Linked DNA regions of Bombyx mori. The protein of the gene in region 2 interacts with the protein of the main gene of each other region in a biochemical or structural test. Links are inferred from orthologs where the notes say so. Each region holds a gene or a part of one and is shown on either strand. Other genes may lie near its edges. The genes, in order: semaphorin-1A and plexin A3.

Evidence for each region.
Region 1: the proteins of plexin A3 (region 2) and semaphorin-1A form a complex in vitro, tested with the Drosophila melanogaster proteins (2 studies listed by BioGRID). The link is inferred for Bombyx mori from reciprocal best matches to the Drosophila melanogaster genes PlexA and Sema1a.

The regions. Positions count from the first base shown.
Region 1 is NC_085125.1:9,406,578-9,424,164, reverse strand, and holds part of semaphorin-1A, read right to left. Parts: intron 16,004-17,587; coding exon 15,899-16,003; intron 13,336-15,898; coding exon 13,247-13,335; intron 12,689-13,246; coding exon 12,547-12,688; intron 11,565-12,546; coding exon 11,362-11,564; intron 10,288-11,361; coding exon 10,142-10,287; intron 9,143-10,141; coding exon 9,060-9,142; intron 8,685-9,059; coding exon 8,456-8,684; intron 2,245-8,455; coding exon 2,096-2,244; intron 1,153-2,095; coding exon 1,024-1,152; intron 1-1,023. UniProt on the Drosophila melanogaster protein: Involved in growth cone guidance through its role in axonal repulsion. Function in neurons is essential for adult survival, motor neuron survival, and is important for climbing behavior and activity.
Region 2 is NC_085124.1:13,999,825-14,016,453, reverse strand, and holds the end of plexin A3, read right to left. Parts: intron 11,134-16,629; 5' UTR 11,032-11,133; coding exon of another isoform or gene 11,021-11,031; intron 10,083-11,020; 5' UTR 10,003-10,082; coding exon 4,306-10,002; 3' UTR 3,839-4,305; downstream 1-3,838.

The DNA.
Region 1 (17,587 bases), on a different chromosome or scaffold from region 2:
TGCGCAAAAAAATATATCGACGCTTGAAAGGTAAACGTGACTAAGCGACAATAACTGCTTTGTACATAAATGATAGGCAATAACCATATTCGATGCGCAAAAAAATATATCGACGCTTGAAAGGTAAACGTGACTAAGCGACAATAACTGCTTTGTACATAAATGATAGGCAATAACCATATTCGATGCGCAAAAAAATATATCGACGCTTGAAAGGCAAACGTGACTAAGCGACAATAACGTCTTTGTACATAAATGATAGGCAATAACCATATTCGATGCGCAGAAAATATATATTTCTAGGTCTATTAAAATTATTTCAATCCTACAGCTACTAGCTAGATTCTACTACAGCTAGATTCATTAAAATAAATTTTGTTTTCAGGTATTTCAACTTTAAATTAGTCTACTGTAAAGTTCACGCATTGTCGCTTAGTCACGTTTGCCTTTCAAGCGTCGATATATTTCTAGGTCTATTAAAATCATTTCAATCCTACAGCTAGATTCGTTAAAATATTTTTTTTCAGGTATTTCAAATTTAAATTAGTCTACTGTAAAGTTCACGCATTGTCGCTTAGTCACGTTTGCCTTTGAAGCGCGATATATATATATATATATAACCTTCCCTGGACTTCCACGAATAGTTCAAGACTAAAATTAGCCAAATCGGTCCAGCCGTCTCGAGTTTTAGCGAGACTAACGAACAGCAATTAATTTTTATACATAGAGATTTTGTCTACGACTAAGGACAAGTTGAGTATCACTGATGAAATATTTCTGTAGTTATTCAATTAGGTTATTATATATATATATATAAAAACGCTTAGACAGGTGACTGAATTCATCTGATTGAGTTAAATGGTTAGAGAGCCCATAGACATTACTAAGTGAATGCTGTCATCGATCTTAAGACATGAGATCATTAGACATCTTAAGATATGAATTATAGTATATAACAGCTGTTCCATCCATCAAGCTGAAACATATGACCTTACAATACGCCTACCGTCAGTTAGCACGTACCTTCATTGTTGTTGCTATTTCCCTTCCCATCCTTATCTTGGACAATATTGATAACCTCGCCTTTATTTTCTCCTCTTGCGTCATCGTAAAGACCCGAACTTAAACCACCCACTGCACCTGCGTCTTTACCTACAAACAAAGTATAATTTCAACACCTTTTTGGAATTCATTACGTGATTCATACAAGCAAAAAGTCGATATCGCAACAGTATTGTGTGACGATTTAGCCACACTTGATAATGGAAAAGCTTCGTAAAGCCGTATGGGCAAGTATTATATTGTTATGCCGGTAAGAGTAACCCCATTTATCATCAAATAGCAGAAACGAATATCAAAAGAGCTAGCTAGAGTACTATCGGGTGACATTCGAGAAGTGTAACGCCATCTATTATCAAATAACAAAAATGTGATCGAAACGATCTTTATGGCCGCTCTGAATGTAGCCGTCAGTACGAACTTGCTCATGGTACAGTCGGGTGGACATTTCATAACCAAGTTTTTTTTGTTGTTGTAATTAATAACGATAGCAACGAGAAACAAATAACAAAGAAATAGCAATATGAAAATATTCTGAACGCGACGATACTGTCATAGCTCAGCGAGTATGTCATTGGTGTACGAACGTAGCACTCACACAACGCGCGGGTGGCGAGGACGCTTGTGAGCGGAAGACAGAGCGCGCGGGCATGCCCTGCCTCCAAGGTCAGCGCACGTCCCGCTGATACCTGATTTTGTGTTCTGCGCAGCGTAATGCGGCTAGGTTCGGAGCGGCCATAAAGTTTGGCGAGTACTATACTATCAGAAATGTTCTTGATAATTGCAGACATGTCGTGTTGCCTATAAAATCGTTGCAGAGATGTGACGAAAGCAGTTTGTAATCAGTTCTACTCGAAGCGAAACAGCGAACGGATCACTTGAATCGATGCGGACGAAGAGAATTGAGAATTGTGAAGTGGACCTTTAGTGTTGTAGTTGTTCAATAGAGTTTTTATTTGTACTTCCGTGAAGGTTTTATTTATCCCGACCTCTAGCGCGGAACAATACTATTATCGTGCGTTTTATAAGTCATTACTGTGAGGGCAGGCAGTATGGCTTCCCGTGCTGACACTCTGGTAGAAGGAGTTTTCGTCCAGCCAGCGACTGACGCCGTGCGAGTACGCTCGACACCGTCCGGCTTGTTTGTCCCACGCACAGTACGGATCTTGTAGAGCAACACATTCGCTGGGGAAAAAAACAAGCGCATTGTAAAAACCGTTTTAAGATTTTACCTTGAAATCACTTTCAAGAATTATTCTTTTAAGACAACGATGGAATAATCAAACCAGTGAGTCGTTTGTTTTTAATTTGTAAGATGAGAACTTAAGGAATGAACAATAATTATTTTATAGGCGAATTTTATATAAGTTTCACGAGTTGATTTTTTTTTATTGCTTAGATGGGTGGACGAGCTCACAGCCCACCTGGTGTTAAGTGGTTACTGGAGCCCATAGACATCTACAACGTAAACGCGCCACCCACCTTGAGATATAAGTTCTAAGGTTTCAAGTACCTATAGTTATCACGGCTACCCCACCCTTCGAACCGAAACGCATTACTGCTTCACGGCGGAAATACGCGGGGTGGTGGTACCTACCCGTGCGGACTCCCAAAAGGTCCTACCACCAGTGAAAAATTAATTCCGCTAAATGTTTTTAAAAAAATTATCACAATCGGTTTATCCAGAATAAAATCTGAGGTAACACATAAAAAAACCGAGTAATTGATAACCTCCTTTTTTGGAGAGGGGTTAATAATAGTGAGACAAGGCACGGTTTGCTTGTCTGAAATTTAGTATAACTTTTATATAACATACTAGCTGACCCGGCAGACTTCGCAGTGCCTCAATCGATAAATAAAAGACCTAAGCTATTGTATAAAATAAACTTAAAACAAACAAAAGGAATTCGTCCGACGAGGGAGGGACACACACATCAAAGGAAAAACAAAATTGTTATTTTTATTTAATTCCAAGCATTTTCATATTTATCTACCTTTTAAACCTTCTCTGGACTTCCACAAATAATTCAAGACCAAAATTAGCCAAATCGGTCCTGCCGTTCTAGAGTTTTAGCGAGACTAACGAACAGAAATTCATTTATATATATATATATATATATATATATCCTGCAACACTTTTGGCATCCAATGAACACAAAAGTACATTTAAAGTGGCGACCACCGACATTTGGCGACCAATATGCGGTCGCCACTTTGTTTCTCAATATTTTTTACACCAGTCAACTGTAGATGGAGTTATGGTTACTATATCAATTTTTGAGATGGTCACCAAATTGCCTCAGAAACGTTTGGAAAAGCATATCGCAGTGTCGAGCGGTGCCGCCAGAGGGTGTGTATACGTAGCGCTGTATATTGGCTTTTACCATACCGATGATTTGGCGTCGCCAGCCAGCTCGAAATTTCGCTTGTGAACAACGTGACGTTGCCGACTATTCACTTCGGATTCAAATTATACAAAACTATGTACTTATTATAACGTGGGTGTAACCCACTTATTAATAGTAGTACTAGTAATTATTTCGGTATTACGGTCGGTACATTGATATTGATATTTTTTTTACTAAAAAAGATTTTTTGGTGTCATATTTGCAATTATACCATATATGATCATTATACACCTGATGAATGTGACTGTAATTATCAAGCTAGGTTCATCTAGGTTTACTTCTACAGATTGATTAGTGGTTAATTCTCTTTTGTTTATAATCAAAATGGATAAAAAGCAAACGAGAAACGGATAATATTATAACAGCCGGCATTATAATATTCTAGTCGCTGTTTATGCGCTAAGATTTCTTGTGTAGAAGAAATAAATCACCCTCAAATTCCTGTGACACTGAAACTTTGCAGATTACTAGGTGTCACCGGTGACACCTTATTTCGGATTTTGATTCTTAAGATAATAAAAATCATATTTAAATAACTATAGCGAAAATCAAGAATCGAATAGTCATAACAAGTCTCTTTCGTTTTCTCATTAATGTTCGAAACATTAATTTCAGATTTTTCAACACTTCTGAACCAAGACTTGATGATTATACTAAATTATAATAAATAATTAATATATTATTATTATTAATAATAATAAAATAGGTATTTGGATATGATTTTCTAATATGGCAGTGTGCTAGCTGCCTCCTGTCACATTCTTAACAAATAAATTATTTAAACTCAAGGTCTTAAACATAACTAAATCTGCAGGTACAGGTGGCAACAGAAATTTGTGACGAAAATAATCTTGAAAAAAGAGCGAATTTCACATTGAATTCTAATGTTAATTCAAGTACATTCACAAATTAGTACATTGTGCACCAAGGGAGAAAAGTGGAACATTTCCTCCCGCATATACGCTTTTTTTACAATAAAATCATTTTTTCTTACACTATTTTTCAAATTTATTAAAATTTATTTTCTATTTTTTAGTTGGGTTTCTATAAAAGCATATTTTGTTAGTTTTTTTAAACTATTATTTTTTATTTTTTAGTTGAATTTCAATGTTTTCAATTTTATTTTAATATTGAATTGTCATCGGTCCTTAATAAGTATACCAAATTCTGAGTTAATCCGGCGTTTTGAAAATCATGTTCAAAGATTCCGTTCCAAACATACATATGTCTGAAGCTAATAAAAGCGTATTAAATACCACAAACACACAAAAATAAAATAAAAAAAGGCTACGTCTTGCTGCTTGAGCAGTGCCCATCTGCGGAGGTGGTGGTCCTTGCTGACTTTAACGCTCATCACCACGAGTGGTTGGGGTCCAAAACCACTGACCTCCCGAGTCGGGCAGCCTACGATTTCGCTTTGTTCTACGGCCTCACTCAGCTGGTGACACAGCCCACCCGTGTCCCAGACATTGAGAGGCACGAGCCTTCTTTGTTGGACCTTCTGCTGACATCTCACCCAGCTGGATACAGTGTGGTGGTCGACGCTCCACTTGGATCGTCTGATCACTGCCATATCCGTACTGCAATACCACTCTCTCGCCCTAGTCGTCGAATGATGACCGGGTTTCGAAGAGTTTGGCGGTACAGGTTAGCAGATTGGGACGGAATGCGTGAATTTTACGCATCCTACCCATGGGGGTGCCTCTGCTTTTCCTCCGATGATCCTGACGTCTGTGCAGACCGGCTTGAAAACGTGGTGCTTCAGGGGATGGAATTATTCATTCCTTCTTCTGAGGTGCCCGTTGGGGGTCGCAGCAAACCCTGGTATAATAAACCTAGCAGGGATGCTGCACACCTCAAGCGGTCCGCATACGCGGCATGGAATGATGCTAGGAGATGCCAGGACCCCGACATTTCGGAGGAGAGGCGGAAATTTAACGCCACCTCTAGGTTCTATATGAAGACTATTGCCAAGGCGAATTCGGAGAACGTTGCCAGAATTGGTAAGCGACTGAAAGGCTATCCCTCTGGGAGCCGTGCTTTCTGATCACTGGCTAAGGCTGCAGAAGGCGACTTCTGCAGGTCTTGTCTCCCACCACTACGTAAAGTCGATGACAGTCTGGCCCATAGTGCAAAAGAGAAGGCTGACGTTCTGGTCAAATTCTTCGCCTCGAACTTTTTTATTTATTTATTTATTGCTTAGATGAGTGGCTCGTGTGATGAGTGAGCTCACAGCCCACCTGATGTTCTTACTGGAGCCCATAGACATCTACAACGTAAATGCGCCACCCACCTTGATATAAGTTGTAAGGTCTCAAGTATAGTTACAACGGCTGCCCCACCCTTCAAACCGAAACGCATTACTGCTTCACGGCAGAAATAGGCAGGGTGGTGGTACCTACCCGTGCGCACTCACGAGAGGTCCTACCACCAGTAATTACGCAAATTATAATTTTGCGGGTTTGATTTTTATTACACGATGTTATTCCTTCACCGTGGAAGTCAATCGTGAACAATTGTTGAGTACGTATTTCATTAGAAAAATTGGTACCCGCCTGAGATTCGAACATCGGTGCATCGCCTCAACACGTATGCACCAGACGTCTTATCCATTAGGCCACGACGACTACATTCGACGACGACGAACTCCACTATGGATGACCGGGGCGCCACACCACCCAACATCCCCTGGTGTGATAGCTCTCTGCCTGAGATCTGCTTTAGACAGTGTGCAGTCAGGCGGGAGCTGCAGGCCCTGGACGTCCATAAGTCGAGAGGGCCAGATTGCATCCCTGCAATGGTTTTGAAAACCTACGCCCCTGAATTGACACCTACGCTAACGCGTTTGTATCGCATCTCGTATAGTACTAACTAACAGGGTCCCGTCTTCATGGAAAACCACCCACGTCCATCCTATCCCCAAGAAGAGTGACCAGTCGGACCCATCGAGCTATAGGCTTATCGCGATAACTTCCTTGCTTTCCAAGGTGATGGAGCGAATAATAAATACACAACTCCTGAAATGACCGACAATACGGTTTCCGTCACGGTCGCTCAGCCGGCGACCTTCTTGTATACCTTACTTACAGGTGGGCTAAAGTCTTGGAGAGCAAGGGCGAGGCTCTTTCTGTGAGCTTCTTATCACGAAGGCCTTCGACAAGGTCTGGCATAGGGCACTTCTGTCGAAGCTACCATCTTACGGTATCCCCAAGGGACTCTACAAGTGGATCGCTAGCTTTTTGGATGGGCGGAGCATCACGGTCGTTCTAGACGGTGGCTGCTCCGATACCATGACCATTAACGCTGGTGTTCCACAAGGTTCGGTGCCCTTCCCCACGCTTTTCATCCTGTATATCAATGACATCTATTGATGGCATGCATTGCTATGCAGATGACGGCACGGGGGATGCGCGATATATCGGCCATTTGAGTCTTTCACAGAGCGTGGTGCAAGAGAGACGATCTAAGCTTGTGTCTGAAGTGGAGAGCTCTCCGGGGCGAATCTCCGAGTGGAGTGAATCGAACTTAGTTCAATTCAACCTGTTAAAGACAAGTTTGCGCGTTCACTGCGAAGAAGGACCCCTTTGTCGTGGTGCCACAATTCCAAGAAGTATCCCTGAAACCTTTCACGAGTATCGGAATACTTGGAGTCGACATTTCGAGCGATGTCCAGCTTCGGAGTCATTTGGAGGGCAAAGCCAAGATGGCGTCCAAAATGCTGGGAGTCCTCAACAGAGCGAAGCGATACTTCACGCCTGGACAAATACTTTTGCTTTATAAAGCACAAGTCCGGCCTCGCGTGGAGTACTGTTCCCACCTCTGGGCTGGGGCTCCCAAATACCAGCTTCTTCCATTTGACTCCATACAGAAGAGGGCCGTTCGGATTGTCGATAATCCCGTTCTCACGGATCGTTTGGAACCTCCGGATCTGCGGAGGGACTTCGCTTCTCTCAAAATTTTGTACCGTATGTTCCATGGGGAGTGCTCTGAGGATTTTTTTGAGATGATTCCGTCATCTCGTTTTTACTATCGCACCGCCTGCCACCGGAGTAGAGTACATCCATAACTACTTGGAGCCACTGCGTTCATCCACAGTGCGTTTTCAGAGATCTTTTTTTGCCACGTACCATCCGGCTTTGGAATGTGCTCCCCTCCACGGTGTTTCCCGAGCGCTATGACATGTCCTTCTTCAAACCAGGCTTGTGGAGAGTACTCAACGGTAGCCAGCGGCCTGGCTCTGCCCCAGGCATTGCTGAAGTCCATGGGCGACGGTAACCACTCACCATCAGGTGGGACGTATGCTCGTCTGCCTACAAGGGCAATAAAAAAAAAGGAACTTAATAGGACAAATTTATGAGGTCTGCAAAGTTACCACTTACAATATTTTAGGGTAAACCTTAATGTAGATTTTTCAATGTAGTTTATCTGTTTCTCCTACTGAACAATTATGGCATTAAGTATATTATTTTCATAATTTTGATAATTGACTGCACATGGGTTTCGACAATTATAAGATCTGTGAATGGTAGTATATTTTGTCAGTAAGTGAACATGTCAGAAGTACACGCTAATGGGAGGAAGTCCGACGTTTGTAGGAATGAATTAAGTATACGGAACAATATACAGAGTTCCAATTTATTTCCAAAAAAACGGTAGACTTATCTGTAGTGAATTGATTAGTAATATATTTAAATATACGCGGATGGAGTAAGTACACCAATGTAGTTTGGTGGTCAAAAGTACTGCGAAGAATATTGATATTAGTATATTAGTATTTTCTAGGATATTGCGACAAGGTGAATTTCGAGTTACATAGTCAGTTTCATATTCGTTAATACGTTAATATACATGATTCATTTTGCTCTAAGTTTATTAGAAGTGGTGGTTGTCAGAAGGTTGGAAAATGAAAGGTTGCCAAAAGAGTTACGGGATTTATATATATATATATATATATATATATATATATATAGATAACATATTAAACTTACGAGCACGAGCTGATCTTATCACTGGAGCACCTATGGAGCCTCAAGCTGAGTACTTCTCTATCGGAGACGGCAATGAGTCTGGCGGCGTCCCGGCCGGCGCGGGCGACCCGCAGCGCGCGCACAGGCGAGCCAGCGGCGAATGCTTGTAGCTCCTCAATGACGATCGGCACGGCGCGTTTGTTTGAATCATACGAAATCGCGTTGACCGCTTTTATTATTTTACCATTGTCTGTAATAAAAGGAGTAATGTGTACGTTTTTGTTATAGATAATGATGTTCTAGATGCTTAGACGTAAGATCGAATTCTCGATGTAAAGCGTCTGTAGTCCTTCGGCCTGCTTAGGCGTTAGAAGTAAAGATCAGTAAATGTAGATATATTAAAATATTAGTTGTCTAATTGTATAGGTATTATTCTTAAAAATTATCAAAAAATAATTTGCAAAAGTTTAATTATGCAAATGCTTTATTTATACTTTGGTTATCTTTATAATTTGAATGTCTAAAATTACTGATGTATATAATAAATTTTCTTTAAAAACAAATAAACTTTTGATACTAAATCAAATACAATTATTTTGTTAAACGAAACGTATTTATAGTTTACCTGTGCCAATAAACAGTACGTCATACGCTTTCCCGCCCGGAGTCTTCACTTGTGGATCTACTGCGATTTGCGTAAATCTGTAGCTGTAATAAAACATACAATGTAATCGTTAATGTCAAGTTTTTTTATTGCTTATATGGGTGGACGAACTCGCAGCCCACCTAGTGTTAAGTGGTGACTGGAGCCCATAGATATCTACAACGTAAATGCCGCCACCCACCTTGAGATATGAGTTCTAAGGTCTCAGGATAGTTGCAACAGCTGCCCCACCCTTTAAACCAAAACGCATTACTGCTTCACGGCAGAAATAGGCAGGGTGGTGGAATCTACCCGTGCGGACTCACCAGAGGCCCTACCACCAGTAAATCTATTTATGTAATGGTATTCACAGGGTGTTGTACAAAATGTAAGAGCAATACATGTTTCGGCTCGTATCTGATACTTCTCGCCTAGGTACATAATATATTGTCTGCCTCTAGCCTCCCGGTTTGAGCCCCTCACCTACTAGATCGGTGAATCTAGAATAACCCCTCGAGGTTACTAGAATAGGTAGGAAAAAAAATTTGCCTCTAGGAGCAGATACATTTTTTTTTTGTTGCTTATATTGGTGAGCGAGCTCACAGCCCACCTGGTGTTAAGTGGTTATTGGAGCCCATAGACATCCACAATGTAAATGCGCCATCCACCTTAAGATATAAGTTCTAAGGTCCCAAGTTTAGTTACAACGGCTGCCCCACCCTTCAAACCGAAACGCATTACTGCTTCACGGCAGAAATAGGCAGGGTGGTGGTACCCACCCGCGCGGACTCACAAGAGGTCCTACCACCAGTACTTACGCAAATTATATTTTTGGGGGTTTCATTTTTATTACACGATGTTATTCCTTCATCAAGGAAGTCAATCGTGAGCATTTGTTTAGTACGTATTTTATTAGAAAAATTGGTACCCGCCTGAGATTCCAACACCGGTGCATCGCTCAACACGAATGCACCGGACGTCTTATCCGTTAGGCCACAACGACTTCAAGAATGTATATACTTTTATGTATATACGTCTATACTTCATTAAATGTATATACTTACTGAAAGCTAGTCCTAATAACGATAGGTTCTCCAAAGAACGCGGGCACAGACTCGTCCATTAACGCGTGGGTTTTTATGAAATTCAATGTTTTATCCGGCAGTTGTCTCGAGTCGTTATGACAGGTTCCCGGGCGTGGTTCAGGTACCTGGCAAAACAAATACACAATTAGTTGATGGAATTTAGTAATTGGAGTCCGGGTAGCGGGGTCTTTGACATTTAAGAAAATTCGTGTTTCGAAATCGGTACTAAAAATAAATAATAGTTTAAAAAAACTAACAAAATACGCTTTTATAGAAAAATTGTTTTTATGCTAAAAAAGCGTGGGGTGCATGGTATCAGTAGTTATAAATATTTTGTGAACAGATATGAGTAGAAGGGTTATTTTGATAATATCCTGAAAAGCACCCACGCTTTTTTACAGTAAAATCATTTTTTCTTACACTATTTTTGATTCAAATTTATTAAAATTTATTTTCTATTTTTTAGTTGGATTTTCTATAAAAGCGTATTTTGTTAGTTTTTGAAACTTATTATTTATTTATCATTTTTTAGTTGAATTTTAATTTTTTCAATTTTTTTAAATATTGGATTGTCTTAAGTATACCAAATTTCGAATTAATCCGACATTTTGAAGGGGGTCAAAATCATGTTCAAAGAATCCGTTACAATCTAACATAATATACTAACATACATACGTCTGAAGCTAATAAAAGCGTATTAATAACTAAATAATTTAATTATTTTGTTCTATATACGAGTATAGACGGCGAGCTTGTTGCTTATTAGACATTCTTCTTTCTTTACCGGTTAACCATTGGGTTATAAATTATAGTTCTCTGAGGCAATACAGATAAGGCACTTTAGGTAATACAAGAAAGAAATTAAATAAAACACATTGCGAATACTTCTCATACATAACCCCTATATCACATGCCTTTGTAGTTACACATAAATACGTACATAATTCAAAACTAAGTAAATATATTATTATAATTCCAAAATGAGGGAAAAGTTCATAGATCGTGAGGCGCGGTCTGCGAATAATATTCGTAGCCGCTAATTTCATGATGACTTCGGCCGCATCATCAAAAGCGCAATGACGTAGAGCCTTAAATGGAACGCCTCAGAGCGAGGTAACGCCGCATGAGTCATGTTTTTTCGTGCGTGCAGCTGGCTCCATCGAATTATAAGACGTTGTCACGTCAAAACAAAAACTTACTTTAGCATTGTTGACAGGCAGCCAATTTGAATTAAAAGCGCTTTGTTCCTTGAAAGTTCCTTCGAACGTGTCGGCTATGTCCTGCATGCTGAACGCACAGACCGCACTCCCGGATATACTGTTAGGCGGAGTCGTGAATGTACCGTAGATTAGTTGAGCGTTTAAGCCTCCGTAAACGCCCTCAATTAGTTCGGTCGTCGATTCTGTAATGCAACACGAGAAAGCCTGTAAGACGAATTATGATTTGCAAAACATTATAAATAACTTATTTAATTTATAATACTACTAGCTGACCCGGCAAACATTGTTTTGCCATATATAAGATTTCTAGGGAATTTCTAGTGTAGAAAAAAAAACTAACTTATTGTAAGTGTGTAAGGATGTGGTAAATGAGTGAAAGAGGCATGTAGCGCTGTGGACGTTGAGGGAATATATAATAAAAATAACAAAACCTCATTCAACCACATAATACCTCATTATAACAAAAAAAAAGTCCAAATAAAAATAATATGTTAGGGGTGGACAACCCTAATCACTTAGGGGTATGAAAAATAGATAGTAGCCGATTCTCAGGCTTACTGAATATGCATAAAAAATTTCATGAGAATCGGTCAAGCGGTTTCGGAGGAGTATGGGAACGAACATTGTGACAGGAGAATTTTATATATGTATTAGATTAAAACTGGTATTTAGCGACTGTATACAGTACAGTTTTGCGATTTCATTCGATTTCTTATTTCTTGAAGTGAAGCTCTATGCTTCTTCTTCTCTAATGCGACTTCCAACAAGGTTGCGTTAAATGTTTAACGCTACCATACTAGAAAGGGACAGAGCGAGAGTGAAAGCGTGGCACTCGAACGTATGCGCGCAGTATACCTGTTACACGCCAGCGCGAGTGTTAGAAATGAGTAGCGTCTAATATTTTAATGAAATATTAAAAAAAAAATTAAAGTATATTTATTTTTCTATCTATAATTTAAAATACATATAAAATAAATGTTGAAGATGTCGCATCTCTTATACACAGCATTCCCTATTACAAGGGCAATCTGATTTAAGAATGAAAAATGAAGAAAACCACAATACTAAACATCGAAAAAGAAGTTTCACTTCATTCACGTGCACCAAGTTGCACGCGCAACTTTTTTTTTATGTAACATTAAATAAATTAAAAAAGGTACTGACGAATCTCGTTAAAGTAAAATGGGAAGTCTCCGGCGACTGAACAGTTCAGTCTTGATTTCAGGAACGACGTCCAGCGCTGCTTGAACCTATGCGGACCTCCTCGATCATCACGACAGACTCTAGCAACTCTAGAAAAGACGGACTGAAAAAAAAAATACATTTAAAATAAAATAATAATAATAAAATAATAACTTTACTTATTAAAATTAAACATTTAAGTATTTTATTACTGTATCTTAACTGAACTGAAACTGTATCTTATTATTGATTTCTCCACTATTTAATGGATGTTATTATACATATAAACCTTCCTCTTCAATCACTCTATCTATTAAAAAAAAACGCATCAAAATCCGTTGCGTAGTTTTAAAGATTTAAGCGTACATAGGGATATAGGGACAGAGAAAGCGACTTTGTTTTATACTATTTATTATTTATATATTATTATATTATTTTTTTAAAGCCATGTTTAACTTAAAACTTTGTATACATGTAATGACTATTTATTTTAAGGAAAAATATAGTTATTAAAAGCAATCGCGATGTTAACTAAACAGGAAAAAGCATTAATTATTTCTCTTTCATTGTTCCTTTTTCGTCGAACCCTATAAACATTAAAAACGTAGATACTACCACCTACCTTGAGATATGAGTTCTAAGTCTCGCCCTACCACGAGTACACATTAATCATGAAACTCACCTTGCCGCAGTTAATGTATTCCACTGCTGTTTCTCTGAAGAAGAAATAAACGAAATTTCCGTGCACCAGTGAATTCACGAAATCCGGAGCTGTAAACATAAAATATGACAATTATTTCTCAGTTCTGTCAGAATAATTGTTGTTCAAATTGAATACGGCTATATCGTTCTAGAACGTTCGAAGTTAATTAAATTCGAAGATAATATTGGTGTTCAATACCAAATAAACGTCATACAGGTGATGCAAAGGGACGTTTATCGTAGGCGCTATAATTCTAATACGAACCTAATCGGATTTAGCGATTGTTGACGCGTCATACGTCACTCAAACGACGCGGGTTCAGCCCCGTTCTAAATTCAATTAAATTGACGGATGTGTATATGTCTGACAGCCGCATTCGAACGCATTCAGCTGTGTGGACATTACCGATAGCGTAACGTTTGTTGTAACCATTGATTGTAACGATAATATAATCTGTATATTAATTAATACGTGAAGCAAAAACTTTGTATCCCTTTTTACGAAAATTGCGTGGACGGAGGAGTATGAAATTTTCTACACTTATAGAGAATATAGAGAAGGAGTGCACAATGCTAATATTTTTTTTAAATAATGCATAAAAGATACATTAAATCAATAAAGAAAACATTAGACACACTACATACCATGTATTTGACGCACGCACGCGTGCATATTTATTTAATATTTATTGTCAAACTTTTGTTCTTGACGTCTGTGGTCAAATTGAGAATAGATTAAATATTGTTTGTCTTAATAAAAAAAAAAATATAGTAGCCTTGGCGAAATTTGTGATTATAGAAGTATAAAATACAATCATAATAGTGTACAAACTTACAATTCTAATTAATTATAATTGAATTTCGACTACTGCGGGACCTCTAGTTTAGATAGATGCTTGTGATTTAAAGCGAACAAATCTAGAATACGTTGACTTTGTAATTTAAATTATAATACAAATGCCCTTTTTTTTATTGCCGTTGTAGGCAGACGAGCATTCGGCTACCCTAATGGTAAGTGGTCACTGTCACTCATGGACGTCAGCAATGCCAGGGGCAGAGCCAAGCCGCTGCCTACCATTAAGTACTCTCCGCAAGCCTCGTTTGAAGAAGGACATGTCATAGCGCTCGGAAAACACCGTGGAGGGGAGTTCATTCCAAAGCCGGATGGTACGTGGCAAAAAAGATCTTTGGAAACGCACTGTCGATGAACGCAGCGGTTCCAGATAATATGGATGAACTCTGCTCCGATGGCGGGAGGTGCGATGAAAAAAGGAGATGAGGGGATCATCTCGAATAATTCCTCAGAGCATTCATAGACCATACGGCATAAAACACTGTTCTATTTTAATTTTTATTACACTAAGTCCAAGAATGACGTCATATTATGATTAAAACAACAACTTCTAATATTACCATCGTTACCATATCAAATATTGGTGGTAAATTAAATTAATAATGTTATATTGCCTTGTTTATGCGTTCTAACCATTTTTAGATTGCTAGGCTTACCCGGAAGTATAGTTACATAATTATCGTTTGTTTATTATTTGATCCGGAAACTATTATATATGTTTTTCGCTAATTAGTGTTTGAGCCGGAAACGGAAGCTGAACGTTGCTTGTATTTAGAAATCACTAATAAACAGTGTGTAATGATCGACCCTGATAAAAATAAGTATTGAGACAGAAAACTATTTTTTTTTAAATATAATAAATAAAGTTAACTATCATTATTCGCCCAAGTTGCAGTTTCATACAACAATTGTTACCACTGTCTACGTTGTAAACACTATTATTCTTTCTTCACGGGTTTTTACCACGATTTACACATCTAGTAGATTTTCGATGCATCGGCGCTGTTGTAAATTATGATCACGGATAGTGAAGACTGCGGTAAGGATGTTAAGAATAGACAAAACTGTCTACTTTCTTTCTATTTTAGAATTGTTACATCATTACTGGCCGCGACAATATGCTTTTATGTTAGATGTGAAAATTGGTGAAAGAGCCTCTTAAATAACAATATTTACAATAACAATCAAAATATTGTAACGAGTGACAATCAGTTAACATAAATATGGAGATACCTGGTATTGTATGGTTTGATAGATAACCAAATATTCAAACACAAAAAGTAAAATGCATGAGCAGTATATTAACTAGTAATTGATAATTAAAATTAATTCTTAATATCAATGCAGATCGACTGTAATACTGTCGAATGAAGAAAAACGCACCATACTTGTTTTGCTGAAAAGACTGAATATGCTTTATTTGCACTTCAGTCTTTTGGCATCCACTGCTGGGCATAAGTCTGTTTTATATCATAATGTGTGCTCGCCCCACACTCTCATCCACATCCGCCCTGTCGTCTTGACTATGTCATCGGTCTTCCGGCACTTACATAAATTAAAATAACCTTTACGGTTCCATTATGCGTTTATTATTTTAATTTTACTATACAGCGGAGAATTAAAGTATTCACAAATAACTTCGTCCGTGATTACGCAAATTATTAAGTCTTCGTAAGGGTGTTGTTAATGAAAATAATAAAATTCGAAATTAAAACGTAAATATGGTTTTTAATCTTGTCAGCGTCTCGCGGAATGTAATTACAAAGAAAATTAATTTACCGTTCAATGTCATCGAGTCGTAGGGTTCGGTCTGCAACGGTTCTCGGTATATTATTGGTTCTATTCCACTGAAATCCGCAACTGTCCCCGAATATAATTCGCCATCTGTAAATCATAATAATCGACAATATTATTGATCATTTTTGACAAACGTCAATCAAATTATTAGAGTACAGGTATTAATTCTACTATAATACGGTATTTTACAACACGGTTCCACTCTAAAACGAAAAGAAAAATTCCCAAAACCTCTCTTTATAAGACGGCACTTCTAAACGAGATTTTTGTTTAAAATTATTTAGAAAATTATATTATGAATATGCAATATATACGAATAACCAAAGTTTTGCGGGTTATTTTTTATGTATAGGAGGTAAAAAATACGTAGACGCATATTTGAATGTTTAATTCAGAAAAAAATCTCTTCTTTTTGTACTGGCTTCTAGTCTCATATAATATGGTTTCGCACAACACTGAACTTTTTAGGAACGTATCTATCGTGTTATAGGAGGGCCACCTTTATTTAAGTTATACTGATAAAACAATACAGTAATTGATAGTCGTATCATACCATATCTTAATTTAAAGTATACGAAAATAAACCTTATTTCAACACGCAAAATAGCGATTTTAAAACGATTCATATTACAATTATATAAGAATCGATAATAATTTCTAAAGTAAATACAGGATTGCTATACATATCTGCAATGTGCATAGTTACATGAGCAGAATTACGACGGAAAAGCTTTACATGTCCAGTCATCTATAGGGTTGACAGGTATATTTATCTATACTAATATATAAATCTACAGTGGTTTTTACGGATGTTCCGTTATAACTACTGAATCATGCATCCGATTGACTTGAAACTTGGTATCCATGTAGAAAATACGTGTACTTAATGGATAGGCTATTATTTATATGAGTGTTGGACTCCCTAATAATAATGACAATAAATAATAATGTTAATTTTAAATTCCCAGCAAAGCGGGCGAGTACGGCTAGTTTGTAATAAGCCTATTGTGTTCTATTTTAGGATAAAGGCTCCCATTCGAGATGTCAGTTGCGTGTCTTTGGATTCATGGCTCTACAAAGTAATGACAAGACGATCTTTACGCACGCAATGGCAAAGTAGGTATTAATCCATTAAAAAAAGCTAAACTAAGATTAGGTTGACTAAGTATTAGTGTGTTACATAAATTATAAATACTCAAGTTTCCAACTACAGTACTCGGAGAGTCAGTCTACTTAGCAATAACGATCGGCGGGGGAACTTTATTTTGTCGTCTACTCCAAAATAGTCATAGATATCTGACGCAAACGTACAACATTCCTTAAATTCTAATGGAATTTAAATATTTTTAAATATACTGGTGGTAGGACTTCTTGGGAGTCCGCACGGGTAGGTACCACCACCCCGTCTATTTCCGTCGTGAAGCAGTAATGCGTTTCGGTTCGAAGGGTGGTGTAGCCGTTGTAACTATACTGAGATCTTAGAACTTATATCTCGAGGTGGGTGGCGCATTTACGTTGTAGATGTCTATGGGCTCCAGTAAGCACTTAACACCAGGTGGGCTGTGAGCTCGTCCATCCATCTAAGCAATAAAAAAAAAAGTTTCCCTGAATTGTTACTCTGAACTTTCAACAGAATTTATATTATACACATATAATAATTCAATACCACAT
Region 2 (16,629 bases):
CCAGAATAATGTCGGCGTTTGAAATGTATCTTAATACTAAATAAACTATTTAAAGACATACGTTGTCGTGTTAACAACGAAATTAAGAAGAAAAAAAAAGACGCCAAGATATAAACTGCTTTATTTAGCAACAGCGATAAACTAGCAGTGAGTTATGAATGTAGGACAATGACATTTTAAGTGGTGCCACCATAATGCCGTCAAAACACATGCAGTTCTTAGCAATTCCAATTTAAAACAACGTGAGAAGAATTTAGCCTTATTTCGACTTTCAAACTTGATTGCAAGACTGCTGAAAGAACATATTAATTACCAATCCCTCCTATAAATCATTTGGTGATTTACTGTATCCGCATTTCTTAATCAAATTCTCTCTTGATTGACATTCAGTTAAAAGATAATTTTTGTGGGTCGTAATCATACTTCGTCGGATAGCAAACTTTTACTCACGTAAACACAAAAACAGTTTTGTCCAATAAAAAATCATTACAGTCGGAAATGCGACACACTTTTCGAACATAACGGACCAACGAATTACTGAATCTCTTATTTTGAGACGCACGATCAGTCGTCGACAAATCTAGATCTGCTATTGTATAAACAGACATACTTCACTTATTAAATCAGAAATCGTGACTGTTTCCATCTACGTTCACCCAAATAAAGACTAGTGTTTAGTTTTGTTTTGGTAGCTAACAGTCATCCATAAGGATGACGACCTATTATTTCAAGTACTCATAAATCTCAATCGAGAAATTAAAAATAAGCATCATTACGATGCGGCACACGCTTATTGTATTACCAAACTAATAACCTTCGCACTAGGGTAATAAACTAGTCAATAATATTCTTTGTCAGTATTTCCGGTTGCTCCTATTAGAGAAACCTCATGTGTACCTAAATCATCATCTTGCAAATGTTGAATATTATCGGCTATCGATAGTACTATCTGAACCTGAAGTAGGATTTCTTATCTAAGTATAATCGAAATTACCAAAATAACGTCACTAAATAGGTCTCACCACGTGCGACTCGTGGACCGCAACGTATCGACTTTTAGTGGCAACATGCAAATCCGCGACTGGTTGCAACATGACATGACGAGTGGCGGCCCGTAGGTGGGGGGCAGCATTCCTAGCGAATGGCCTGCGGTGGGAGGGAGGTCATCGACCGTCCTCAACCGGCCGCACAAACTACGCAGCCGCATAAGGTCAATACAGCTTGACCACATGTTGCAGTTCTCGCTCCTTATTGCCATTGCTGTTGCCGACTTATTCGAAAAGTATGACTTTATTGGCGTTAATTGGCGAGACTTCGTTACATCAGATATATTTTGGAATTTCATTAATGTACAAACATTCAGAAACATATTTTCATGAATCCGGTTCATCGAACGAGAAAGTCAATTGAAATAAAAGTTTAAAAAAATTACACATTCGTCCTCAGTGCCGTTCTAAAATTTTAACAATCCTTAAATTTCGAGTTTCCTAAATAAATTTAGGACCGGTCTTTCATTACAGCGACGAGTTATATTTCGAAAGCGGCCATTGTTCGCAAGCAAACCCGAAATCAATTACGAATACATAAGAAATCTAATTTGAGATTGGGCAATGAGATATTATCTGGCCAAAACAGTGGACGCAATCAATTTTGTTTTCACAAGTGTTCAAATCAGTCAACAAGATTTATAGGCAGCGAAATAACTACCTTACCAATTAGTTTCAATATCTAAATATCCAATATAGCAGATGACGACGATAAAACGAAATAAATACAAAAGATTGCTCTATATTGCTTATATTGCTTGCACAGCATTTGCAGTTATACTTTTTTCTTCGCACATTTCGACCTTAGAACAAATTTCTCTCCGCGATATTTCTTGAGCATTATGACATATCCTTCTTTAAACTATTTGAATCCTTGGTAAGCAGCGGCTTGACTATGCCTCTGCCATTGCTGAAGACATGCCTCGCGTCTGCCTATGAAGGCAACCAACTAAACTTAAGAAAAAACTAAGTAAGCGCTTATTTTAAATTCATGATTTTATAATTAATAAAAAAAAAACTACTAATCAGACTTCTGGATAAAGATAATAGGTATAGATAAAAAACAGACATGGCAACGATAATTTTACGTTAAACAGAAATTAATCAAATGTAACCAATGTACAACTAAGCTGTTGCATTGATATGATGATTGGCTTTAGCAGATAATGACTTCAAATTCACTACACAATACACTACAGTGGTGTGGTAACAGCTACTAAGTTTTAATTTCCCTACTTCGCGACCAAGGTCGTAGTAATCTCCTGTTGACAAAATGTGGTTACCGGAAGCTATTTTTTATCACAATTTGACTACCGCCAAAGCATTATTGAAAGAAGAATTGAGAACCTATGGCTTTGAAGTTGAATAATTAAAACATTTCACGATTTTGCTGTCTAGTTGACAAATTGATTAATCATCTCGGCTTATTCGCTTGAAATGAGATTTAGCATAGACCATTTTACACTACTTTAGTTTCCAGATGAGATTAACCTTTATTATATCGTATTAAGTAAGTGTTCTCGTTAAAGAATTTCTTGAAGTTTCACAAGAACTGGTTTTGTTTTGGTCACTCGTCCTACATGACAAACGACGAAAACATTTGACATTTTGACCAGACTTTTAATGTCAGTATAAAGTTCAATTACATAACTTACCGTTCCCTTGTGTGCTTACCGTATTCCATCGTAATTCAATTAAATATTTTTTCGATTTAAATTTCTACAAAAACAAAGTTAACTCCACATGCAGCTAATAATAAATTTTCCTAGTTTGACTAGGCTATCCTAACCTGTACCGTTATTACAATTAAATCCCTATGGCTATTCGAATCTTGGCTTCAACAGATTCCAATGAAAATTACCTTAAAAGCCAAGATTTATTTTACAGTATGTGCGGAACAAAACGCATGGGTTTCAAATTGCATTCCACACTAAACAGTTCTATGGTAAGTGTAGGATTCTTGACCTATTCTAGTTTTAGTCAAACATTTTTTTATTATCTACAAAACTCCTTTCTAAAAAAATCATACAATTCTTATTTAGAATAAACGAGATCAAAGTTTGATATATGCTCCATTTTAGAATTATTATGCAAAAGACTAAGTACGCTTCCTACACGATAACTTTTTGAAGAACAATGGTAAAAGTTGTTCGCGCTTCATAACTATCTTAAACGCAATCGGAATATTACGACACACGCTAATTATGATATTCCCAAGACACAGCGCGTGGGCGAAATTGTAAGTTTCCAAGTTGTTTATTTTTATTGTTCCACTTTAAAGGTTTTAGTGTTTAATGTACTCTCCAATAATTATTTTAGCATGAATATAGAAGTACTTACTCTCATATCCAGCCGTCCAAGACCACAAGGAGACCATCGCCAGCAGCCAGTGGTACATGAGGCCTTCGATCTTCCAATAGATGGGGGCGAACAAGGGTTTGAGAAGGCGCAGCGCCATCATCCACAGCACGTACGCGGGGATGCAGTATAAGTTGTTGACGACCGCGAATGTCGTCCGCGCCACGATCCGCACGTACCGGCTGAAAAAGCAGGGCCGCTTCGGTTCATCCATGACGTCTCGCACGTCGCCCTCGCCTCGCCACGTAACGTACGACAAACATGAGTGGTGATATGACATGTTAGGTGCTGGATGCACGGTCCCGAGTGCGAGGCGAGCAGACATGGCACCGTACCGCGTTCTCCCTGCCGACAGCTGCCGAGACGCGGGGGCTTTCGTCGTGCGCGGACGATCGCGCTGCGCCCATTGCAAATTAAATAAAACAACGCTTACATACATTCGACGATATTTATTAATGGAATCGTTCACGGGTTCACTGTCGGTTATTTCGTTAATAAGACTGCGAGTACAAATTTAAAAATCGCCCGTTGGCGAGCGAAGCCGTCGCTCGCCGGCGAGCTTACATGCGAATTCTTTGCGACACACATTATACACCGATCGACGTAACATTAACTCGTACGACGCGAGCACACATAAGACAGACATACACAATTTATTTCATTTATTACTTTACGATGAATACATCCGGCACGACCGTAGCCGGCCGAGCTCGTCGTGTAAAATCAATACAAAGTTCATTTATATAAAATTAAAAAACGATCTGACCGCTGAAATTATACAAAAATTACAATATTAAAGACTGTACACTATCTAATATATACAATAAATGCCAGCATAGATATGTGCGTGAGCGTTATATACAGGGCGGTGGGGTCGGCATCACAGCGTCAGGCGAGGCGATCACACGTTGTAATCATGAGCCATGAGGCTGTGCACCTGCTCGAGGCGGTATGCGAGCCGCTGCTTCTGCGAGAACTCGTCCTCCTCGAGCGTTACCGTCAACTGTTCGTTGTACCTGTCCGCGTACGCGTACAGCTCGTTCAGCGCACAGTTCGTGTTGAACTCTTTCGTGTGGAGGCGAGACTCCTCCGCAAACATCGCGTTCATGTCCTGATCTGATATTGCCGGCATCAACTTAATGTCCGCATAGTAACGTTCCACCCACTCCTTGTACACGGGAATGTCTTTAGCGTAAAGAAGCTTGGACGAAGGCGAGTCTTTGCCTAAAATGTGATCGGAGGTCGAGCAAGAGTCCATGAAAGTTTGCGCGATAACAGATAAGCAAGAATCTACAGTATTTGACTTATGAACATCGAACACGAAATTAGGATTTTTTATCAGGTTCACCCAGAAGCGAAGAGGAAGGGAATTGCTTTTCCAAGTATGCACAACTTCGGGGTCGGATATTGCGTGCTGTAATGCCTGATCATCGAGGAAATCGAACATATACTTTATGGCCAGAGGCAACGCCGAACCGCGATGAGCTGTACTGAAAATGGTCTCAAATAAATCATCGACAAATTTCTGCAGAGTGCCTTTCGTGGCGAGAAGACGTGTGAGATAAATCTCAGAGACCATTTTATTGCCACGCTCACCCTCCTTGCGTGCGTCATCGTCGTGATGTCTCACGAGATGCCAGTATTTAAAGCCGCCACCGTGATCGTATTTCAGTGGGCTTGCAGGGGGACTAGCGGATCCGTATTTGCCTCGATTTAAAGTTTCGTAAGTATGAGACTTGTCATTTTTCTCCATATTAGACAAATTATAAACCGAACTCTGTTTTGCAACAAGACTAAGGCAAGCGCCATCCGGGACGCGGTAATGATTCAGGGTATTGAGTTTACGCCATTCTCCTTCACACTTCGTAGTACTATCTTCGTCGTAAAGAATCAACCTACCACAAGCCCCCGTGCGCCATTCTAAATCAAGTTCATCTCGACTAGGACGTTGGGAATACGGAGTTGAGCGATATATAGCATCCAAACATTTCTCTTTAACTTGACTTATCGTATCACAGTCTAAAACTTTAACTTGTACGTTTTCAGTGGTAGCCTCTAAGCCGCTCACAAACAAAGTTTGTTGCGAAATCGACACGTTTACGGTCATTGCTTTAAAGTCTATTGATTGGCGGATAAGTTTTTCTTCGCTAAGTGAATAACGGGCTTCAGAGGTAATGGCATCGACGGGGCCTTTATCTACCTGTCCTTTCATCGACCTAAATAACAGATACAGAGGTTCCCCGGCGCATTCGCGGAGAAATTTGTAAAGCAGAAAAGTGAACCAAGCGCTCAACATCTTTTCCGCTACACTTTCGGTACGTCTGAGCAGTAATTTAGGATGATTTTTACCTTCCATGCACTTCTCTATTAAATCAGCTAATAATGTCTTCAATACATCAGTGCAGTACTCCATTTTACTTTGGAGTGTTACCATAATCAATGAAGCTACATTCACACGATCACGCATCGAAAAATATCTATTGCTTTCTAAAGTACGAATAAATAATAAAAGGAATGTTTTATTCATAATAAGCTGTCCAAACAATCTAAGACCCTTGTCTTTTCTAATAAGCTCGGGACGTTCCCACTGCAAGACGGCATGGTCGTCAATGTTAGGGAACAAAATTTTCATGGCATACGTGCGATAATCTAGGAAAGGAATACCGCCCGTGACATCACCAGTCAAATCCGTCATTTCGGTTTGCAACTCCGCAAACGCTTCCTTACATTCTGCTGCTACTCTTAACTCTAAAATATCCATCTGTTCCTGCATACTCTTTAATACCCTAATATTTTCTGTTGACTTTCGCCTATACATAACTAAGAATCCCACAACTATAAATAAGAGAATACCTATACTGATGCCGACCCCTATCAGTGCTGGTTTGCCTATAGCGGCTTGCAAACCAGTCTGCGAGGAATACGACAATTTACCAATCTTGTAGGTGAGAGCACGTCCTACTTTAACTACTACTTCAAGAGTGTCAACACCGTCAGGAAGATCTTCCCGCGAAGGGGGACGACAAGTCAGTTGATGCCGTGACAACGATGTTACGTTGCAAATGCTGTCTCCGATTCGAACTTCTACATCAGCCTCAGTGCACGCCCTATCCAGATTTTGACCGTTAATAGTTAAATAATCAGACTTGTAATACTTTAAATCTTCGCCGAATTTCTCATAAATGGGATCAGGATATAAAAGGAACGCGTCACCAGTCTTAGTTGTGAGGTTCTGTACACTTTGTACGTCGTCCATATTGAAACCGTATTCTAATGCCAAAGGTCTATCAGGATCTAGATTGAGACCAGCACTTTCAATACCGGGTGATTCACAAATCAGAACAGTTTGAAAATCTGCCCTATAGCAAGGAGCAATGTAAGGTCTGTTATCGTGATATACATAGATCTGGGGCAATAGAATTGAATGGAAATTTCTGCCCATCACTTTGATGCTTATCCCGCCGGACGGAATGCCTTTGGGTTGTTTGCGTTGCGATAATAATGGTGGACCGGATTCAACGGACACTACAACAGGATCCTCTATGTATTCAAACTTTTGTCGTTCTAGAGTTCGCATCCCGTTATCGAAACGCATTCGCAGTGTGCCCATTTTGAGTTGATACGAATGGCTTGTCCTACACACAGCTTCCTCGTGCGATACTGATAAAATAGCACAAGGCAAATCATCGATATAAGCTTGTATATTGCTGCCGGCGTTTAGATATTCACCCGTGATACGTAACTTCGTACCGCCCGATTGTGGCCCGTAGATTGGTTCGATAGAATTAATTTTAGGGTTAACGAACGCGTAGTGTTGTTTAGATTCATCGCGATAATCAGCAACACGAACAACTACTGGCCCATCACGGGGAACCTCTTCTCCGGGACCGTCTACAGTACAAACGATTTGTTTTGTTTTTATGTATAATTCTATGATAGGCTGACATTTTATTCCGGCAATAGTTACCCCGTTATATATGTCAGATATATTCCGACCCAGGTTTATACCTTCGATGGTTATGTTTGTTCCACCATCCCATGGGCCAAGCTGTGGTCTGAATGAATGAATTTCAGGATTAGGGCAAGTTTGTGTTCGATTTAACCAAACACTAGGTGCTCCGCACTGTTCTTGTACTTCGCACCTGTCGGACCCTTGACACCAACCACAACCAAACTTCTCAGGGAGGGCGAGACACATGCCGCAATTATCAGCCATATCGTTACAACGGTAGATGAGAATATGAGTATTATCCGGGTTATCAAGAGGTTTCGACCCACCCCATATTACAGCAAACGAAGCAGTAATATTAGGAGCTCGGGAAGTATAAGTAAATTCAACGGATTCACAATATATGGTATCTGCTAAAAGTTGAGCGTTCACGTGAGTGACTCTACCCTCAATATTGAATTGACAAACGAATCTAGTTTGAACGATAAATTGGCCTATTATGTGGACTTTAACTTTGATTTGTTTTTTAACACCGGAAGGTACTAATATTTCGTTGGTACCGTCGGACGTTGAATTTATTGTTGGACAAAAGCTTGGACCAGAACGATAACTTGGGCCTATTCTACTAACTCCCGTTACTAAAATATCATTACGGCAATTTTCAGCGGTATCGTGGGTGCAGCGGTGACCGTCGACACACCAGTCGCAAGGGAACGAGGAACTGACGCATTGTGTGCACGAGCTGTACGTATTACAATCAAAGAATGTAAAATTGGTCGCTACAAAGTCAGGTCCCTGAGTAGTGCGCACCGATAACTTAGCAGTGAAGTGATGTTGACCAGCCGGTATCGGTGGGAGCGTATCGGTACGCGGAGTTGTACAATTAACACCGTAAGTTTTTCTGGTAGCGTTCGTTATAAGAGTACGATCTAAAGCTGTAAATGCACATAAAAATTGTCCATTGAGTGTAGGCAAGTTTTCGATGAGTAAATCTAGTGTTCTTGCTGTCGTTCGTTGCAATTGATTAGGTGTCACTTGGGTGATGGTTGTACAACGCCCGCTGCGGTAAGGGATCCAATACAAAGGATCTTTAGCTGCCTCCTGACAATCTGACCGCAGACTGCATTTGTTTTCTAAAGAACACCATCCACAGTACGGGTCTTTGGCTCCGAGACACGTCAAACAGGATTTGTAAACGCTGCACTCTTGCACTTTCACTTTAGACACTTTTCGTTCTGTCATCACATACAAATGCATTAACTGAGTATCGAAGAATAAGTCTTTATTCACTGGTGAATCTTCGTCAACAACGATATCCCCGTATTCAAATGCAGAAGTTGCACTTTCGACCACAATCTTTTTGAGATGTCCTTTCGCCGTTCCCGCAAACACTACAGTATAATCGCCAGTGGCAGTTGCGGCTACTGCAGTAAGTCTTTTCTTAAATACAGCTACCGGGACCGCTTCCACTGGTTGTTCACCCCCGAGTGGAGTATTTACGTCTAAGCCACAAAAATCTTCACTGATTGATTGTAATTTTGTTCCGATACAAGTATGCGAGGGCGATATAAAATCAAGACCCCGAGATCCATTTCCGCTGAAGCATGTCTTTATATTCTGCATGAATTTACGCCGAATCGCTTTCAGAGAGTACACACAAAGGGCTGACAGATCTGATGGAGTATTCGCGTTTATTGACTCACTTTGACTGAAGGCTGCAAAGAGTACATCGTGCTGTGCCGTTATTCCTAATTCACCTGCGAGGACGGAGCCGGCCTTTCCAACAAAAGCAGCCTGTACTAGATTGTATCCAAAATTGCCTCCTCCCTCTCCGGTACAAGACATTGGAATTTCAGTATATGAATAGTAGTTTTCGTCATCATGACATACACGAACCAATTTGCTGTAGTATGTATCTGATCCTACACCTCTCAGTTGTGTTGTAAGAAAATAACTAAATCCCTCGGAGCTAAAGCCGTAGACGTAATTTATAAGATATCGCTCCCGTGATAATGAATTGATGAACATCCTCGTACCAGTCGTGACTGCGGTGCGTGCAATTCCAAACAGGCGGTCATCTTCCAGGGAACGGCTGCTGACAGTAGGAACTTCTGAACGATATGGCGAATTTCCCGTAAACGTAACACCTACGTACATAACTTGTGTCATAGGCGGGTTTGGAGGACCAGGCGCAATAAACGCAACCGTCGACGCTGTAGCATTGTTTGCCACCACCGGTTCACGAACTTCACGAACATCATGAGAAATATTATTAAGGTTTCGCACGGAACATAGCCCTTGAAGCACGGAGCCGCACGTTATGAGTCGGCTTGTCGCGTAATCGATCACCAGCGCCTTATTAACATTATCCGTCGGCTTCTTGACATAGTTGGCTGGACAATCAAAAGTGCAGAGAGCGGAATCGTTGACGGGGCCTGTAATAATCGATTGGGCTACTTCCAAATCAGGCGACAATTGATAGATTCTGTTAACAGCGCCGATGTAGACACGGCCCGTATTGCGATCCACGACGAGGTGGTTGAACTGGGATCCCGGTGCGGAGACCGGATCGCTGTAGGTCCGCACGACGTCTTGGGAGGCGCGCGCGGCGACGCACGCGGCCGCTAACGCCAGCAGCACGCGCCACATGACGGCGCGAGCGCATGTGGCCGGCACTCTACCGCGCGCACCGCCGCCCGTCACCGATGCCACCCGCCCGCTCCGAGCATCTGCAACGCGACACACGCACTCAGAGCCTGCGCGCCGTCGCCACCCACTTCCCATCGCACCGCACCGCTCCACCGCCGCTCTTCGCCTGTATATTCTCATATGGACCGTCCGGTGAAGCCTGGAGACGATTCGCAGACGAGAACCTAGCGCGACTGTGCTTTACATAAACTAATTGATAACGGCGAAGCGCACGTACGCGTTCATCGGCTCGGAGAGGTTCAGTGCGATTGAAGGGAAATCGCGAGTTATGACTTGATCTCGCGGTGACCCATCTGATAACGATATCGGTACCAACCTATTTTCGACTACATATTTATCACTTGTTATTAATCTTTTCTTGAAGACCTCTTCTGTTTGATTGACATTCAAGAGGTGACCTTGTAGCACAAATACATTTTCATTTTATTATGAAATATTCTGCCTACTTTTATGCAGAATTTAAAATGTTTCTAGTGAAACGCTGTAAACAATAAACGTTGACCTATTCCAAATTAATTTACATAATGATTTATTATATTTCGTACTTTTAAAATTGAAAAACGTTAACGAAAAGTCATTGCGTTGTGTAGATTTAATTCGGTTAAACGTTTTAGTATACAAACTTTCGTATGATAATTAACTATTATTCAATACCGTGTATCGAAACGCGAATATCGATCGAGAATTAAACACGATGACGGTAAAAAATAGATCGGTACCAAGGTATGGTCACGGGCGAACCGACGCTGTCAGTGCACTGATGTAAGTCACACGCCGACGAAAGCCTCAGCACCATCAAAGGGGATACATAATAAATATAACTAAAACAATAATTTGGCATGCTGTTCGCAACGAGGGAGTGAACGTGGTAGCGCAACGATAAAAAACGAAATGAAAAGAAATGACGGAGAAACTAAAAAACATCAATATTTAAATATCGTTTAGTAGTGGTACTCACGGGAATTCCATTGTTGGAGACACAGCGGGCTTATCGCGTGAAATTCCTTTTCTAAATTGAGATCATAAGCATAGGAAGCGCACTCTCATAGTGCGGCGACAACGAAGCGAGACCTGGAACAAAGTAAGAACCTTTCTTGAATTACATGCGATCCTGTTTCAATGAAGTTACAATACTTTAATAGATAGTATGAGCTTTAAAAACATTTTAAATCGTTTGTTTTTTGTCAATTCTTTTGTTTTTTGTCAATTCTTTTCTTCTTTTTACTACCTATACTGATAGCCTTGAGAGGCTATTTCAGCTTCACCCTAACGTATAGGTGAGCTCACGGGGCTCAAACCGGAAATGTTGCTAACACTGGCCTTAGCAGGAGCAGTGCTTCGCAGAATCTACTACAGGATCGGAAACGCGACCCACTGAGAAGATTCGGCGAGAAACTCAGTGGGCTGTGTTTATGGGTTAATTTACTCGTCGAGCCCTTCGGGTGCATCGACTGTTTACCATTCGGTCCACAGGATCGGGAATGTTTTGTCAATGATACGTATACCATATAGGAAGAGCATTTAATAACATGATCATCTTGATAACAGATCATAAATTAACATGATTCGATAAAGAAATTGTTTAACACAATTACGATTAAAAATTCAATATATTTTGCGTTTTTCGGTGAACGAGCTCACGGAAAACCAGATTTTAAGTGGATTTTGAAGCTCATAAAAATCACTACGTCAAAATCGCCCTTGTTCTTTATAACGGTCCCATCGTTCAAGCCGGATTACAAGATTATTTCGCGGAAGAGATAAGTAGGATGGTTGGTGATACCGACCTGCGGGTTCATATCTTACCACCAGTACAGTACACTTGGTGAACGCAGCATGCGGGTATGATACTCTAATGAACTTTTCTGCTCAATCTTCGGTGAATCCCTTAATCGCTCTTTACCTCGGGAAAAGATATGATGGTGCTATTCTAGACCTAAATAGTCTACTTTAACAATGGCTCTGGATAATTGTACGAGGTCATTGTGGGCATGGTGGCCATTAAGTTCCTAATTTGAGGCACAAGGTCGAAGCCTTTAATTGTATTAGGGCTGTCCAATATTACCAAGTACTTCGCAGCAGTATTAGGACGGTGGTACGATTACGTAACATTAACTAACTAATCGTACGGTCTTATTTGCCCTACCACCAGTAGACCTACTTATTATTTTATTATAAACATAGAACAAGTTTTATGCAATGACCAATCATTCTGTGATATTCGATAACGCAATTTTCTGTACAAAACCGTCGAAGAACAGGTTTGTACGTATTGCGAGCGGCGCGACCTTAAAGTGACTCACGAGCGAGCTTCGTTATTGCGTACTCACTTCGTATTACGTTCACGTAGAAATAACAAATATTCATAAGTATATGTTATACAATGATGAGACACGGGACGGCATTCTTTTAGGTAGGTCCTGTCGTCTTAATACCAAACTCACAAGGCTAAAAGTCACAAGAGTGGAGTTACGACCTTGTTGTTTCACTGCTGTGTGTGGTCGACTTAGAATAGCAACTCTCCATCTCTTCCCGTTAATGTCATAAAAGGCAACCAATTAATTCAATATAGAATGAGCAGTGTCGGTCTCAGTATTATAATAATGTGCTGCAATCGCCAACCACCCGCGTAGCTGATTCACCAGGCCGAGCAAGTTTTTTTTTTTTTAAAGGAATTTAATTCAATATTAACAAACACAGTATCGCGTAACAAGCGTTTTCACTTAAAACTAAACGAGCTATCTACCAATGATCTAAAGTGATATTTTCTTTTGATACCAGAAATTAACAGAATGTTCACAATTCACAATACGGATTTTTTTTCAGACAGCAGATAATTACAGTGGTGATGTTAAAAGGATTGTTCGTATAAAATTACACTATAGTTTATATGTTCAGTCAACTATTATTTCCCTTCTATTTAGATAAGAATTGAATTTTGATAACAGTAATGCTAGTGTCAATAAATAAACGCGTATTTGTAAATCATTAAAGGACATTAACGCAAAGTTTATTTGTAAGTTTAAATATTTAACTAGCTTTTGTGCAAATAAAATTTTAAGTATATTAAAAAATGTTTTAGCTATAAAGGAGCTCAAAGTCTGGCTATAAAGCGGTAGGTAATAGAAGCCTACCGACACCACAAACTGCCTGCCTAGACATGTGAAATTATAGAAGAATCAGGATTGATACGATAACTTGATGACATTCAGAGCACAATGAATAATTTGATACGACAAGATACAATTCGTGTTGCAGAGCGATAATAGCCACACAAAGAATTATCAAATTTCATGGTAGGCAGTGGTGGTCACAGCTCTCAGGCCCAAAACACGTATTACGGATCCTCCCGGTCCATTAACGGTGCTTTTAGGTACCACAAGCACCGGTCACAGTCCTCGTCGAACCCGTCGCTTGCGACGAAGGGCTGGACGAGCGAATTAATCCACAGACACAGACCACTGAGTCAGTGTTAGCATCACTCCGGTTTGAGCTCCGTAAGCTCACCAACTAGCTAAAGTTACGCTGAAATAGCCTCTCAGGGCTATCAGCTTAGGTAGGAAAAATAAAAGCTCTCAGGTATGAAATACGACTTTGGGAACAAAGATACTGGGCTACTTTACGACAGTGTCACAACCTGATTTCTGCCAACATTGAAATTCACGTGTGTTTAAAGTATTAATTTAGTATTGAGTTTTTTTTAAGTGCTCATAGCCTAAAGACGATCGTACTATGTGTGTTTGCTGAATGATGTAAGCAATGATTGTGTTATTAGAACTCGGCTTATTATGAATGCATATGTACGTGTTCTTCTATAGTGCTGTTTCATTCACACGAATGATGTTTGGTAATGAGCAAGTGAAACATTTCATTGAGACTCAAAACTATTATTTAAATATACGATGGGTATATTAAAAGCTTATTCTAGTAATCTAGTTAGGAAAATAGGACTGTGTGATTCAACAATGACAATACGAATGTATATTCAAGAGAGTGGCAACTGAAAGCACATGGTAAATATTTACAAGATTGACATTACAAAAAACGAATACTGAACAAGGGTAAAAAAAGCGAAGTTTAACCATCAGATACAGCCCGCTGAGTTTCTCGACGGATCTTCTCAGTGGGTCGAGTTTCCGATCCGGCGGTAGATTCTGTGAAGCACTGCTCTTGCTAGGACTAGGACCCTCGACGTTACTAGAATAGGTATGGAAAAAAGTGGAGCTCCACTATTCTATTTCTTTTTTTTTATCGCTCAGACGAATGAACGAAGTCAAATCCCGTCTGTTGGTAAGTGGTTAACGGAGCTCAACGCGAATGACGCCACCGATCTTGAGACTCGAAAAATGACAATAGAAGTCAGTTCGAATCACCAGTTAGGTGAACACTAGTCTATACAGCAGAAAACTATGTCAATCGATCATTTTATAATAGATTATTATTTATTTAAGTCTCTTTGGGCCAAGTTGACTGACCTACTTAAGATACGGTTTCTGCAATACAAGGTTACATGTGTCAGTGCTCTGACCTATTTCGATTAATATGATTTCCGTTGAGACTTTTATTGGCCAATGGACAAACTTGATCATGGCGCTATCTAATGTAAATCGGCTACCGTATCCCATAGATTCGACAACGTGAATACCGCCCAAGCTGTAAGATTTGGATTCTGAATGGATAACTCAGAACAATATATTTATAAGATAGGTACCAGTGGTTATTAATTGAGAGTGAGGTATATTACTACTACAAACTGATGATAACAGTACCAATTGGTCAAGGAGAACAGAGTCGCACATGCGTAATTCCTAACTGATAGCCAGACAAACAATCAGTATGGAGATGTTTCGAAGATATTTGTTTATATTCACAAGTGCTTGTACACTGCATTATTAGTACTTTTAAAGGTTGTTCACAGGTTTACTAATTAAACATATTAAGATTCTTCACAATTCATTGGTGATCAATAAAATAAAAATTATTATACTTTGAAACAATTAAAATTGAAGTTTGAATTGCTAATATTTTATTTAACATACAAATAACTCAGAACAAGTTTATAACAGAGGTCTTTTGAATTATTGCAGTCTTTTTTTGATGGACAAAATTATAAGCATATGGAAAAATGCAATGAATTTGCAGTGAATTATAATTCAAAATATTTCATGTAACAAATTATATAGGTACATGATGGCATAAAGTGTCATCATCACTACAACATCATTTAAGATTAGATGTAAAACTTTTTAACAGTAGCTTTAAAGTTTCTCCACATCAAACATCCTAAGGAAAGATTTTATGCCTAGACCATATATACCAAATTTAAAGATCAGAAGTAAAAACATACTCTCACTTACATACAAGCTCTTATGAGTTTTTGGGTATCAATATGACAATCTTAGGTCAATTATGGAAAAGAAACTTTATCCTAAGTATGGTCATAGAGTTCTCTATTAATGCTAATTACTTAAAATTTGAAATGCATAATTCAAAAGCATGACATTATGTCTCCTTGCACTTTGCTGCACTTGTATGTATATTTGCCCTTAAGCTGTTATTGATAATAAATATTTTCAACAAAGATATAAGTACTCTACCATAGGTGAGATTAAAATATGAATATGTGTTAGCCTATTAAAAACTGGTACATAAAAAACATGTCTTAATCCATCTTGAGACATAAGGTTTCTCTATTCTATAGTATAACAGGTGCCCCATCCTTCAAACCAGAATTATTGTTTTGAGGCAGAAGTGAGTAAGGTGGTAATTTAGACCCATATGGACTCAAGACATTCTACTACCAACATAAGATCCCCCCTACATAGATAAAATACAATAGATAAGCTTTAGAATAGTGACATATAGAAGGATACTCTGAATATGGTAGATTACATATTATAATTATTTAACATACTATGAACATCAAAATCCAAAAACTCCATTCTTATTTTAACTGTCTAATATTTGTTTTCAATATTCAATTTTCAATATGCCTAGTTAGTGATTTACTAATATTATAAAGAGGAAAGATTTGTTTGTTTGTTTGTTTCGAATAGGCTCCGAAATTACTGGACCGATTTGAAAAATTCTTTTTCCATTAGAAGCCGACATTGTCCCTGATGAACATAGGCTACTTTTTTTTTTTTTTTTGTTTCATGTGTGTTTTAATGTTTCCGAAGCGAAGCGAGGGCGGGTCGCTAGTGATTTATATTATTAGATTTTGTTAAAACCTGCTTTAAACCAGCATAAAACCAGCTTAAACTTTTTTCAATTTTTAATCCAAGTATATTTAATTTGTATAAATTACCTATTGTTATTATTTACTGAGACACTGTGAAATTTTAGGATAGGACGTTAAAATGTGTCATATTTTAATAACTATTTACTTATAATTATATTTACTCCTTACATTTTCATTCACTGAGTTTAACCTGTTAAGATTTCAGTAATATGTATGAATTTATATGGCTATGTAGTAAGATTTCAATAAAATTTACTAGTATATCCAGTCACTTACAGATGATACAGGTAAACAAACTCAACTCTCTCAATTAACTGTCCCCTATC